Macaca fascicularis: one gene and its partners. The protein of the gene in region 1 purifies or fractionates together with the protein of each later gene. This does not show direct contact. Links are inferred from orthologs where the notes say so. Each region holds a gene or a part of one and is shown in the gene's direction. Other genes may lie near its edges. The genes, in order: NAP1L1, NAP1L5 and MAGED2.

What was found.
Region 2: the proteins of NAP1L1 (region 1) and NAP1L5 purify together in Homo sapiens (affinity purification with mass spectrometry; 3 studies listed by BioGRID and IntAct, counting the BioPlex papers as one, with this or other methods). This does not show direct contact. The link is inferred for Macaca fascicularis from reciprocal best matches to the Homo sapiens genes NAP1L1 and NAP1L5.
Region 3: the proteins of NAP1L1 (region 1) and MAGED2 purify together in Homo sapiens (affinity purification with mass spectrometry; 4 studies listed by BioGRID and IntAct, counting the BioPlex papers as one, with this or other methods). This does not show direct contact. The link is inferred for Macaca fascicularis from reciprocal best matches to the Homo sapiens genes NAP1L1 and MAGED2.

Annotation. Positions count from the first base shown.
Region 1 is NC_088385.1:82,887,765-82,891,033, reverse strand, and holds part of NAP1L1 (nucleosome assembly protein 1-like 1), read left to right. Parts: coding exon 1-121; intron 122-215; coding exon 216-235; intron 236-2,724; coding exon 2,725-2,847; intron 2,848-3,269. UniProt on the Homo sapiens protein: Histone chaperone that plays a role in the nuclear import of H2A-H2B and nucleosome assembly.
Region 2 is NC_088379.1:94,243,534-94,247,020, reverse strand, and holds NAP1L5 (nucleosome assembly protein 1-like 5), read left to right. Parts: upstream 1-992; 5' UTR 993-1,075; coding exon 1,076-1,624; 3' UTR 1,625-2,904; downstream 2,905-3,487.
Region 3 is NC_088395.1:54,796,841-54,800,592, forward strand, and holds the start of MAGED2 (melanoma-associated antigen D2), read left to right. Parts: upstream 1-1,150; 5' UTR 1,151-1,213; intron 1,214-1,778; exon of another isoform or gene 1,779-1,834; intron 1,835-2,471; exon of another isoform or gene 2,472-2,623; intron 2,624-2,702; 5' UTR 2,703-2,731; coding exon 2,732-2,776; intron 2,777-3,116; coding exon 3,117-3,608; intron 3,609-3,752. UniProt on the Homo sapiens protein: Regulates the expression, localization to the plasma membrane and function of the sodium chloride cotransporters SLC12A1 and SLC12A3, two key components of salt reabsorption in the distal renal tubule.

The DNA of each region.
Region 1 (3,269 bases):
AAGAATGTCACTTTGAAAACCATTAAGAAGAAGCAGAAACACAAGGGACGTGGGACAGTTCGTACTGTGACTAAAACAGTTTCCAATGACTCTTTCTTTAATTTTTTTGCCCCTCCTGAAGGTAAATAATGTTTTAGCGTGAGTATTAGTGGTTATTTTATAATAAGCGTTGTTTAGCTTCTTATTCATTGTAATTTCTTTTCTGAATTTTGCAGTTCCTGAGAGTGGAGATCTGGTAAGTTGAATTGTTATTTATTTATTGAATTGTTAACTATATTTGAAATTAAAGCACCGAATTTCAAGTGGAGAGTGGGATGGTTGTTACATTGAGTTCTGAGGCCTACAATGCATGGGGCAGACATTTTGGATCTGAAAAGTAATTCCATTCAGAATGATATCAGTGCCTCTACTGAGAAACACTGAGATAAAAAGCTTAAGGTTTTCTTTTCTTTTGAAACTTACAAAGCTGTGAGAGATTTAACTTTTCTTTCTTTTCTTTCTTTTTTTTTTTTTTTTTTGAGACGGAGTCTCGCTCTGTGGCCCAGGCTGGAGTGCAGTGGCCGGATCTCAGCTCACTGCAAGCTCCGCCTCCCGAGTTTACACCATTCTCCTGCCTCAGTCTCCCAAGTAGCTGGGACTACAGGCGCCCGCCACCTCGCCCGGCTAGTTTTTTGTATTTTTTAGTAGAGATGGGGTTTCACCGTGTTAGCCAGGATGGTCTCGATCTCCTAACCTCGTGATCCGCCCGTCTTGGCCTCCCAAAGTGCTGGGACTACAGGCTTGAGTCACCGCGCCCGGCTGAGATTTAACTTTTCAAAACTATTGTCTTCCTTAGTAAAACCAGAATGTATTAAGTCATTTATACTGTTATATTCCTAACTACATTATGGTTAGAATGCATTCCTGAATTTGTTACCCCAATGTAAATATGATTTCATATTGTGACTATGTATGTTCATATATATGGCATATGGCAGAGAACCATGAAATGTTCCTGCCATATAGCCTGAACTGAAGAACAACCTTAAAGTCTATACACGCAAGGTATGGCAGGTATGTTTTGAATTTGGTTTTCTTTTGGGCATGTTTTTGAATTTAAATTAACTGAGATAGTTTAAATAGTTTGTCCATATATGGAATTAGAAATTAACCTTAATTGAATACTTTTGAATTGGAATACTCTTGGCTAAGGCTTAGAACAAATCTGTAAAAGGCAAAAGTAAGTATTTCTGGCTTGGCTTATAGGACAAAAAAAAGAGAACATAAAGCAGTGTTGAGTTTCAGGTGAGAAAAACTACTTTAGTACTAAAGATAGAGCATCACACTATTTTCGTATCAGTGGATGTGTTGGAGTTTGTATTCAAGTTCTATTTTTTTTTTTGTTACTAAATATTGATGATGACAAAACAGTCTAGTTAAGGATAGAAAACCTCCACCTGTGGTTTGAATTCCTCCCCACCCCCTTTTTGGACTTTTTTATTTATTAGATTATGTTGTTGACTCAAACATTCATGGAATTCACAGAGGGCGTGCTCATTGTTTAGTATCATAGAACTTAAAGTGAGATTATTTATTTTATTATTATTATTATTGAGATGGAATATGGCTCTGTTGTCCAGGCTGGAGTGCAGTGGCGCAATCTCCACTCACCGGAACCTCTGTCTCCTGGGTTCAGGCAGTTCTCCTGTCTCAGCCTCCCAAGTAGCTGGGATTACAGGCGCGCACCACTGAACCTGCTAATTTTTTGTATTTTTAGTAGAGATGGGGTTTCACTATGTTGGCCAGGCTAGTCTTGAACTCCTGACCTCAGGTAATCCGCCTGCCTTGGCCTCCCAAAGTGCTAGGATTACAGGCGCTAGCCACCACACCCTGCCGAAGTGGAATTATTTTAATTGTAAATAATGCCAGACCCACTTTTACCCTGTGCTTTGCCATTAAATAGAAATCCTAAGCCAGGTACAGCTTCAGGCACCTGTAGTCCCAGCGGCTCTGGTGGCGGAGGTGGAAGGATCACATGAGACCAGCCTGGGCAACATAGCGAGACCCTGTCTCTAAAAAAGCAAAGTGCTAGGGGCAAAGGAAAATTGCAGACATATGTAACAATTGCTTTTGTGTATTTCTGTTTAAACCAGCAAAAACTAAGTAAACAGTTCTAATTTTTTATTCTTCACAATTTCTTAGTATGCATACTGGCCTGCTAGCTTTTCTTTTTGTTAAAAACTTGGAAAAGTTATTAAGGAAATTTAAAAATGACAAATTGTTTGTTAATATGGTGTGAGAAAAATCATGGAAAGTAAAGTTGAGCATTTCTTTCCTTCATCATGTAATTTAAACTGAAGAGGTTTTTTTTTTGTTTGTTTTGTTTTTTGTTTTTTTTCCCGGTTGCCCAGGCTAGAGTGCAGTGGTGCGATCACAGCTCATTTCGGCCTCAAGCTGCTGGGCTGCAGCAATCCTCCCACCTCAGCCTCTCAAGTAGCTGAGACTACAGGCATGTGCCACCCTGCCCAGCTAATTGTTTATTTTTTGTAGAGACGTGGGGGTCTCACTGTGTTGCCTAGGCTGCTCTCGAACTTCTGGGCTCAAGTGATCCTCCTACTTTGGCCTCCTGAAGTGTTGGGACTACCGGTGTGAGCCATAACACCCAGCCTCTAAGAGTCTTACATTGCCACGTTAAGTAACACAGTTATTCCTAAATTTTCTGCTTTTGTTTTCCTTTAAAAATAGGATGATGATGCTGAAGCTATCCTTGCTGCAGACTTCGAAATTGGTCACTTTTTACGTGAGCGTATAATCCCGAGATCAGTGTTATATTTTACTGGAGAAGCTATTGAAGATGATGATGATGATGTAAGTGAATTTGAATCCTGCAAAGAAATAATTGGGTGAGGGTATGGTGGTCAGAATTGGTAATAGATGAGTTTAGTTTTTAAGAAACAGGACATAATATAATTCAAAATTAGGCTAATTACTGATGTTCTGGATATAGCTTTTCTGGGTTTTCAGTATGTCTCCTTAGGATTTTTGGATTCATTTAGCTTTTGATTCTCTGCTAATAAGATTGTTCTGAGTTTGTGAAACTTTTTTATGTTTGGTTAGTGCTATAGATGTATTATGCCCTTGCCTTGACTTCACAGAACTAGGACTTTTCTTAGTGCACAAGAAAACATTTACTGGGAGGCATAGAATTTCTATTCAAGGTAGTATTGAGTGATGATTAGGTTAAGATTAGGCTGCATATAGATGTTTTGGATATGTTTATTGCTAAACGG
Region 2 (3,487 bases), on another chromosome or scaffold:
AGGCAGTGAGTGGGGAAGAAGGGGGGAAGAAGATGGGCAGAAGGTGGGGCATAACACAGTGCGGGGGAGGGGCAGGAGGGAGGGAGAAGATGGTGGCAAGGAAAGGTGTGAAAACAGATAATGGGGAAGGCAGGAAAGCAGATGGTGTTGGGGGAAGCCCGGGAAGACGAAAGTGAGCAGGGTGGGATAGATGGCACACGCTTTAACCAAGATAAGAGGGGGCCTTGGCCCTGGGCCCCATGCTTTAGAGAGACTTGTTTTTTTCAGCCCTCCTCAAGCTTTAGTACTTCCCACAGGCCAAAGATTCTGTAGAACCTTCTAGAACACACACCAGGACACTGGGAGCTCTGAGATTTCCTACCCAAATGACTCCAAAACTGCTTCCAGGGGGGTCCTGCTGAGAGACAACCTTGCCACCAGGGTATGTGTCGCCAGGTGTGTGGGATGGCCAAGGGGGTGTTGGGTGGACACACGGGTACAGAGCTTGGATATGCAAGCTGCCCTATCCACACATATGCTCCCCAGGTCCCCAAAAGGGTAGAATGGAGCCAGCTTGCCCGTTCCTCCACTGCCTGGAGAGGAATGTGGAGGAATCTAAGAGGTGATCAAATGCCAGCTATGGAGAGAGATGCAGAGGTAAGCGAAGACATATGTACTAGCATTTGTAGAAGGGCCTGGATGGGGGTGAGGAGCACACGGAAAACGGGCTGAGGCCATCTACGCAGTTCCTGAAGCAGCACCTCGGGCAGCCACTGACACTCCCAGCCCAGCTCTACAGGAGGTGGGTACATGGGTGGGCTGGGAACAGGGTGTCTGTCCAACAGGCTGGTGTTGAGGGCCCAGGAGACGTCAGGGTAGCAACAGGAGGAATCTGGTGCAGTATGAGCGCACGGCCGTCAGCTGATAGTGGGGAGCCAGTCAAGTGCCGCAAAAGCAGGGGGCGGGGCCGCGGCCGACGTCATTCCCGCGGCCGCGCGTCACCGCCACTTGCCGCATCCGCAAGATCTCTCTGGACCAGCTCGGGTGCAGGGCCTCTGCGGGATCCCTCCTAGACCTCTGCGGCTTCTCCTCTAACATGGCCGACTCGGAAAACCAGGGGCCTGCGGAGCCTAGCCAGGCGGCGGCAGCGGCGGAGGCAGCGGCGGAGGAGGTAATGGCGGAAGGCGGTGCGCAGGGTGGAGACTGTGACAGCGCGGCTGGAGACCCTGACAGCGCGGCTGGTCAGATGGCTGAGGAGCCCCAGACCCCTGCAGAGAATGCCCCAAAGCCGAAAAATGACTTTATCGAGAGCCTGCCTAATTCGGTGAAATGCCGAGTCCTGGCCCTCAAAAAGCTGCAGAAGCGATGCGATAAGATAGAAGCCAAATTTGATAAGGAATTTCAGGCTCTGGAAAGAAAGTATAATGACATATATAAGCCCCTACTCGCCAAGATCCAAGAGCTCACCGGCGAGATGGAGGGGTGTGCATGGACCTTGGAGGGGGAGGAGGAGGAGGAAGAGGAGTACGAGGATGACGAGGAGGAGGGGGAAGAGGAGGAGGAGGAGGATGCTGCAGCAGAGGCTGCCGCGGGGGCCAAACATGACGATGCCCACGCCGAGATGCCTGATGACGCCAAGAAGTAAGGGGGGCAGAGATGGATGAAGAGAAAGCCCACGAAGAAAACAGCTTGGTTTTGTTTTTCCCAGAATATTGGTGGACTTAAAAAGGCTCAGGTTTTTGACCAAAATACAATGTGAATTTATTCTGACATTCCTAAAATAGATTAAATTGAAGCAATTAGATCCTGGCCAGCTCGATTCAAATTTTTCATTTTGAACATAATAAATATATCAAAAGGTGTTAAAGAAAACCGAATTAAACCCAAAATTATGTTTTCATGGTCTCTTCTATGAGGATTGAGGTTTACAAAGGGTGTTAGTAGATGCGAAGTAAAGAACGTCACTTTGAAACCCATTCATAACACAGCATACGCTACACATGGAACACCCAGGCCATGACTGAACACGTTTTCAGTGCTTAATTCTTAAATTTCTTTACTCATGACATTTCGCTGTGCAGAGAAGGCAGACCCCAAGAAAAACGTCATCTTTGAGACTTTGCTTTTGTAACGCAGACATCAGCTTTACACTTCACAGGAGATTGATGGCACTGAGGAAGACTGCAATGGAGATCATGACACTACTGTTAATAAGGCCAGGAAAACTGCCATTTCAAGTTCTGAAAAATGTTTGAGTATTTGAATTTAGAGAATAACATGGTTCCAAGAAGGAGGGTGTAAAACCTGTAAAATACTGTCAACATATGTATTCATTAGTTACAATCTCATGTTTGTGTTTTCTTAGTAGTGTCTATTTACAAAGACGTAAAAAATACCCCAAATATGTTTAAGTATTAAATCACTTTACCTAGTGTTTTAGAAATATTAATTTACTTGAAGAGATGTAGAATGTAGCAAATTCTGTAAAGCATGTGTATCCAGTGTTATGTACTTTGATCCTTGTGACGTCTTTCTGTCATGTAGCTTTTAGGGTGTAGCTGTGAAAATCATCAGAACTCTTCACTGAAGCTAATGTTTGGAAAAAATATATACTTGAAGAACCAATCCAAGTGTGTGCCCCTACCCCCAGCTCAGAAGTAGAAAGGATTTAAGTTTGCTTGTATTAGCTGTGCCTTCATTATTTTGCTATGTAAATGTGACATATTATAAAATGGTGCATAATCAAATTTTACTGCTTGAGGACAGACGCATACAGTAAGGATTTTTAGGAAGAATATATTTAATGTAAAGACTCTTAGCTTCTGTGTGGGTTTTGAATTATGTGTGAGCCAGTGATCTATAAAGAAACATAAGCTTAAAGATGTTTACCACTGTGGTGTTAATAAAACAGTATTTTCAAAAAAATATATATAAAAGTCTCGGTACTCTGACTGCCTGTATTCAAATCCCAGCTCTGCCTCCTATTAGTAATGTACCTTAGGCAACTCAGCTAATACTCTCAGTGCTCAATTTCTCCTCATCTACAAAAGGGAATAGGAATAGTCCCTTCCTCATGGGTTACTATGAAGAGCAAATGGATTAATGCATATAACGCCTATAGAATAGCATCCAAACCATGGTAAGCGCTGAATAATTCTTAGCTATTATTATTACATGAAAGATAAAGACAGTGATTGGAAATTCAATCCTCCTTCTCTCCTGTTACAAAATGGGAGAAATGGACATCACTACATCAATGCCTTCCCATGTTTCTGATTCCTTATTATGAGAGAAGAATGTGGCCTTTAATTCAGAAACACAGGAAATTAAATAAACTATCTTGTTTTGGTTTCCTCAACATAATATCAAGTTTTTATTATCTCCCAGAAAGGATAAAAGACTTCAATATAACATTAAAAATATACAAAAAAGGCTATTTCAACTTTGTTTGCTTCATTCTGAATGAAGCAGAGTTTTTTAAAAAAACTGGACTCCAAAAAAATTAAAA
Region 3 (3,752 bases), on another chromosome or scaffold:
CTACTTCCTATTATTTTACATCTTATTTTGTTTTCTTGAATAGATCCAATTGCTTATGTGAATTTATTATGTGATAGAGGTGCCATTTCAAAGCAGAGAGGGAAAAGATGGATTAGTTTGCACATGATGTAGGGGTAAGAGACTATGATTTTGGAGAGTAATCAAGCTGAATCCGTATAGAAAATAAATTTTGAAATGATCAAACATCTAAATGTAAATAATAAAGCCACAAAAGTGCTTCAAGGAAAAAAAAACGGGGATTGTTATAGGAACATGAAAAGCATCTTTAAGCAAGCAGCAGGATCCAGTTGTGATGAAGGAAAAATGGATATATTTGACTACATAATAATTAAACATTTTTGTTTGGCAAAAATTATCATAAATAACATGAAAAATATTTGTAATATGTGACACGTACACGAGAGACATTGCTGGTGGGAACGTTATTCCATGTACTTTTTAGGAGTAAGTTGACAAATTTTGTATCTTTTGTTATCAAAATGGAAGACGTTTTTGTAGCATTTGAGCTAGCAAAAAATACCCTAAATAAAAAAAAAGTGCCCCAAACAATCTAAATGTACATGTGTGCTGGACTGGTTCAATAAATTATGGGACATCTATACAAGAAAAGATCATGCAACTGTTTAGAAAAATGTGCACTAACGGAAAGATTTTTTATATATAACTGGAAAAAAACAGGTCGCAGAACAGAAGGTATGTATAGTGTACCATTTGTCGGAGAGAGAACCTGAATAATTAGTATACGAATAGAAAAAAAATCTGGATAGCAAAATGTTAATAGTGGTTATTTCTGGGAGATAAGAGTGGCCTTTCATTGGTATGTTATATATTACTGCATTGTTTTAATTTTTACAACAACAACAACAAAACAACAACATATTACCTTTGTAATAAGAAAAAATGAAGATATAAAAAGAAATTCAATGAATGACTTTCTTTCGGGGGCGGTTTGGGTTGGAAGAGTTTCAGACTGAGCCTGGTACAGTGGCATAAACATGGGCTTTGGCGTCAGACAGCCCTGAGCAGGGCCCCATTGCCCCACCCCCGAGGAAGGCGAGGGGGGGTGGCAGGGGGCTGCGGAAAGGGGCTGGGCTGGGTTGGGCTGTCTGCAGCTCTAGTCCAGGAGGCTGAGACTTCGAGAGGGACTTAGAGAAGGCAGACGCATCCCGAACTCGCTGGAGGACAAGGTGAGGTGCGTTGAGATTGGGGTTTTATGGAGGTCATAGAGTGGTTCCAGACCCCTCGAACCCATAGCCAGGCAGATGAGCAATTCTTACTGCACCACTGCAGCTGAAGCAGAGGTGACCTGGAGTGGTGTGTAGGCAATGAGGACGACTGAGAAAGTGGTAGGCTGTATAGACTGGGAGCAGAGACGAGCGGAGGAGGAGGGGAGAAAAACGGGGAACCAGGAATGTTGGGAGGGGGACGAGGAATACAAGGAGGGAGGGGAACACTAAGGGGGAGTGATCCAGAGAAGAGAATGGGGATGCAGAGAGAGGTTAAGGAATACTGAGGGGCAGGGTGTGCAATCGTAACACGGAGGAGGATGTAAGGAATGGGAAGAGGGAATTCTGGAGTAAATAGAAAATGTGAGGTGGGAATAGGGAGTAAGGAGCCAGGCTAAGGGAATACGGAGGGGGGCATAAGGAATGAGGAGCAGGGAGCGGGGGAGGGGCAGACAGGCTGGGACGGAGGCCCCCTAGGGAGGCGGAAAGGGGCGGGACCACTTCCGGCCTAGAGAAGGGAGGGCAGTCTCTGAGTTTCGGAGGGGCTTGGAGTGAGTGGACGCTCTCGGGAATTGTAGGAGGACGAGGTGAGCAGCCGGGCGGGCTTTTGGATGAGAGCCCCGCTAGGGGTCGGCCGCACCCTCTGGGATCTGGAGAAAACCTGTCATGAGGATCGGATCGTACCGGATCCATCCGGCTGGGAAGGGAGGGGACTGGACCCGGTTTGACCGGGCCCAAGATGGAATCACTAGCTTAATATTTATTTGAGGAGGGGGTGTAATAGGGAAGGGGCGGAACCAAGATGCGCCTGTTTGGAGGGGGGCGTGTTAGGAAGAAGGGCGGGGCCAAGAGACACTGGACTCGGTAGGGCGTGAGTAGGGGAGGGGCCGGGCCCACCAGACACTGCGACAATTTTGGAGGAAGGCTTCTTGGGCAGGGGGCGGGACCGAATGGTACTGCGGACCTGGAGAGGGGCGTGTGTCGGGGCAGAGTGCCAGACTGAGACCACGATCATTGCGCATGCGCACTATGTATCGCTGAAAGGGGCGTGTTGAGAAGGGCCAGCACTGAGACGAGCCAGCTGCTGAATGCGCATGTGCACGGTGGACATCAAAGAAAGGGCTCGTGCTGGGAAAGCGGGCGGGGCTGAGAGCGGCCCTGCAGCCGACGCGCATGCGCTCTATCGACCTGCGGCTGGGTGGGGGGTGCACTGGGAAAAGGGGCGGGGTCCTCAGAGCTGCCGCGCTGGCACATCTTCCTGGAGAAGGGGAGGGTGCGGCTGCAGACAATTGAGACTTAGAAGCTTTGGATTCCTGTATCTGAGAACGGAGTCGTTGTGGGTGGTGGAGGGGGTTGGAATTGGGGACCTACGGAAGGTAAGGATCAGCCTCCAGGCACAACAGGGGAGAGGACGTTCAGTGGGCTTCAACTTGACCCAGGCCTTCTCCTCTTCAGGCTCAGCTCTTGCCAGGCCAAATTGAGACATGTCTGACACAAGCGAGAGTGGTGCGGGTCTAACTAGCTTCCAGGTAAGGCCTCTTTCTGTCCTTTCCCCAGCTGCTTTTCCTCTCCAGCCCTTGTTGCTGCCCTAAGTCCCTTGGCTCTTCTCCTCCCATCCTTGTCCTTCTCCACCTACTTTCCTGCCTGGGTGTCCCCCTGCCCAGTGGAGGGAGGGAGAGAAGGTGGGCGGGCCCCTCTTCTGCCTTCAGTTCTTGCTCAGAGGAAAGGGAGGCCTTGTTCGGCTGAGGTGGTCAGAGCACACCGCAGGTACGAGTACAGGTCAGAGAAGTGTGGCCTTGGAATTTTGGAACCATTTGCTTAGTTGGGGGTGGGGAGAAGGTCTGTGAACTTCCCTGCTTCCTCTTGCAGGCTGAAGCTTCAGAAAAGGACAGTAGCTCGATGATGCAGACTCTATTGACAGTGACCCAGAATGTGGAGGTCCCAGAGACACCGAAGGCCTCAAAGGCACCGGAGGTCTCAGAGGATGTGAAGGTCTCAAAAACCTCTGGGGTCTCAAAGGCCACAGAGGTCTCAAAGACCCCAGAGGCTCAGGAGGCACCTGCCACCCAGGCCTCATCTACTACTCAGCTGACTGATACCCAGGTTCTGGCAGCTGAAAACAAGAGTCTAGCAGCTGACACCAAGAAACAGAATGCTGACCCGCAGGCTGTGACAATGCCTGCCACCGAGACCAAAAAGGTCAGCTGTGTGGCTGATACGAAGGTCAATACTAAGGCCCAGGAGACTGAGGCTGCTGCCTCTCAGGCCCCAGCAGATGAACCTGAGCCTGAGAGTGCAGCTGCCCAGTCTCAGGAGAATCAGGATACTCGGCCCAAGGTCAAAGCCAAGAAAGCCCGAAAGGTAAGACCTCTGCAGTCACCACCCTTCGTTTTCTACTCCTCTCCTCTCAGTTGGTTCATTTGTTCTACAAACATTTCGAAAGATCCCTGTGCTCATCAGGGCTGTGGGGGGCACTGAAAGTAATGTGATGTAATTCTTGTCTTC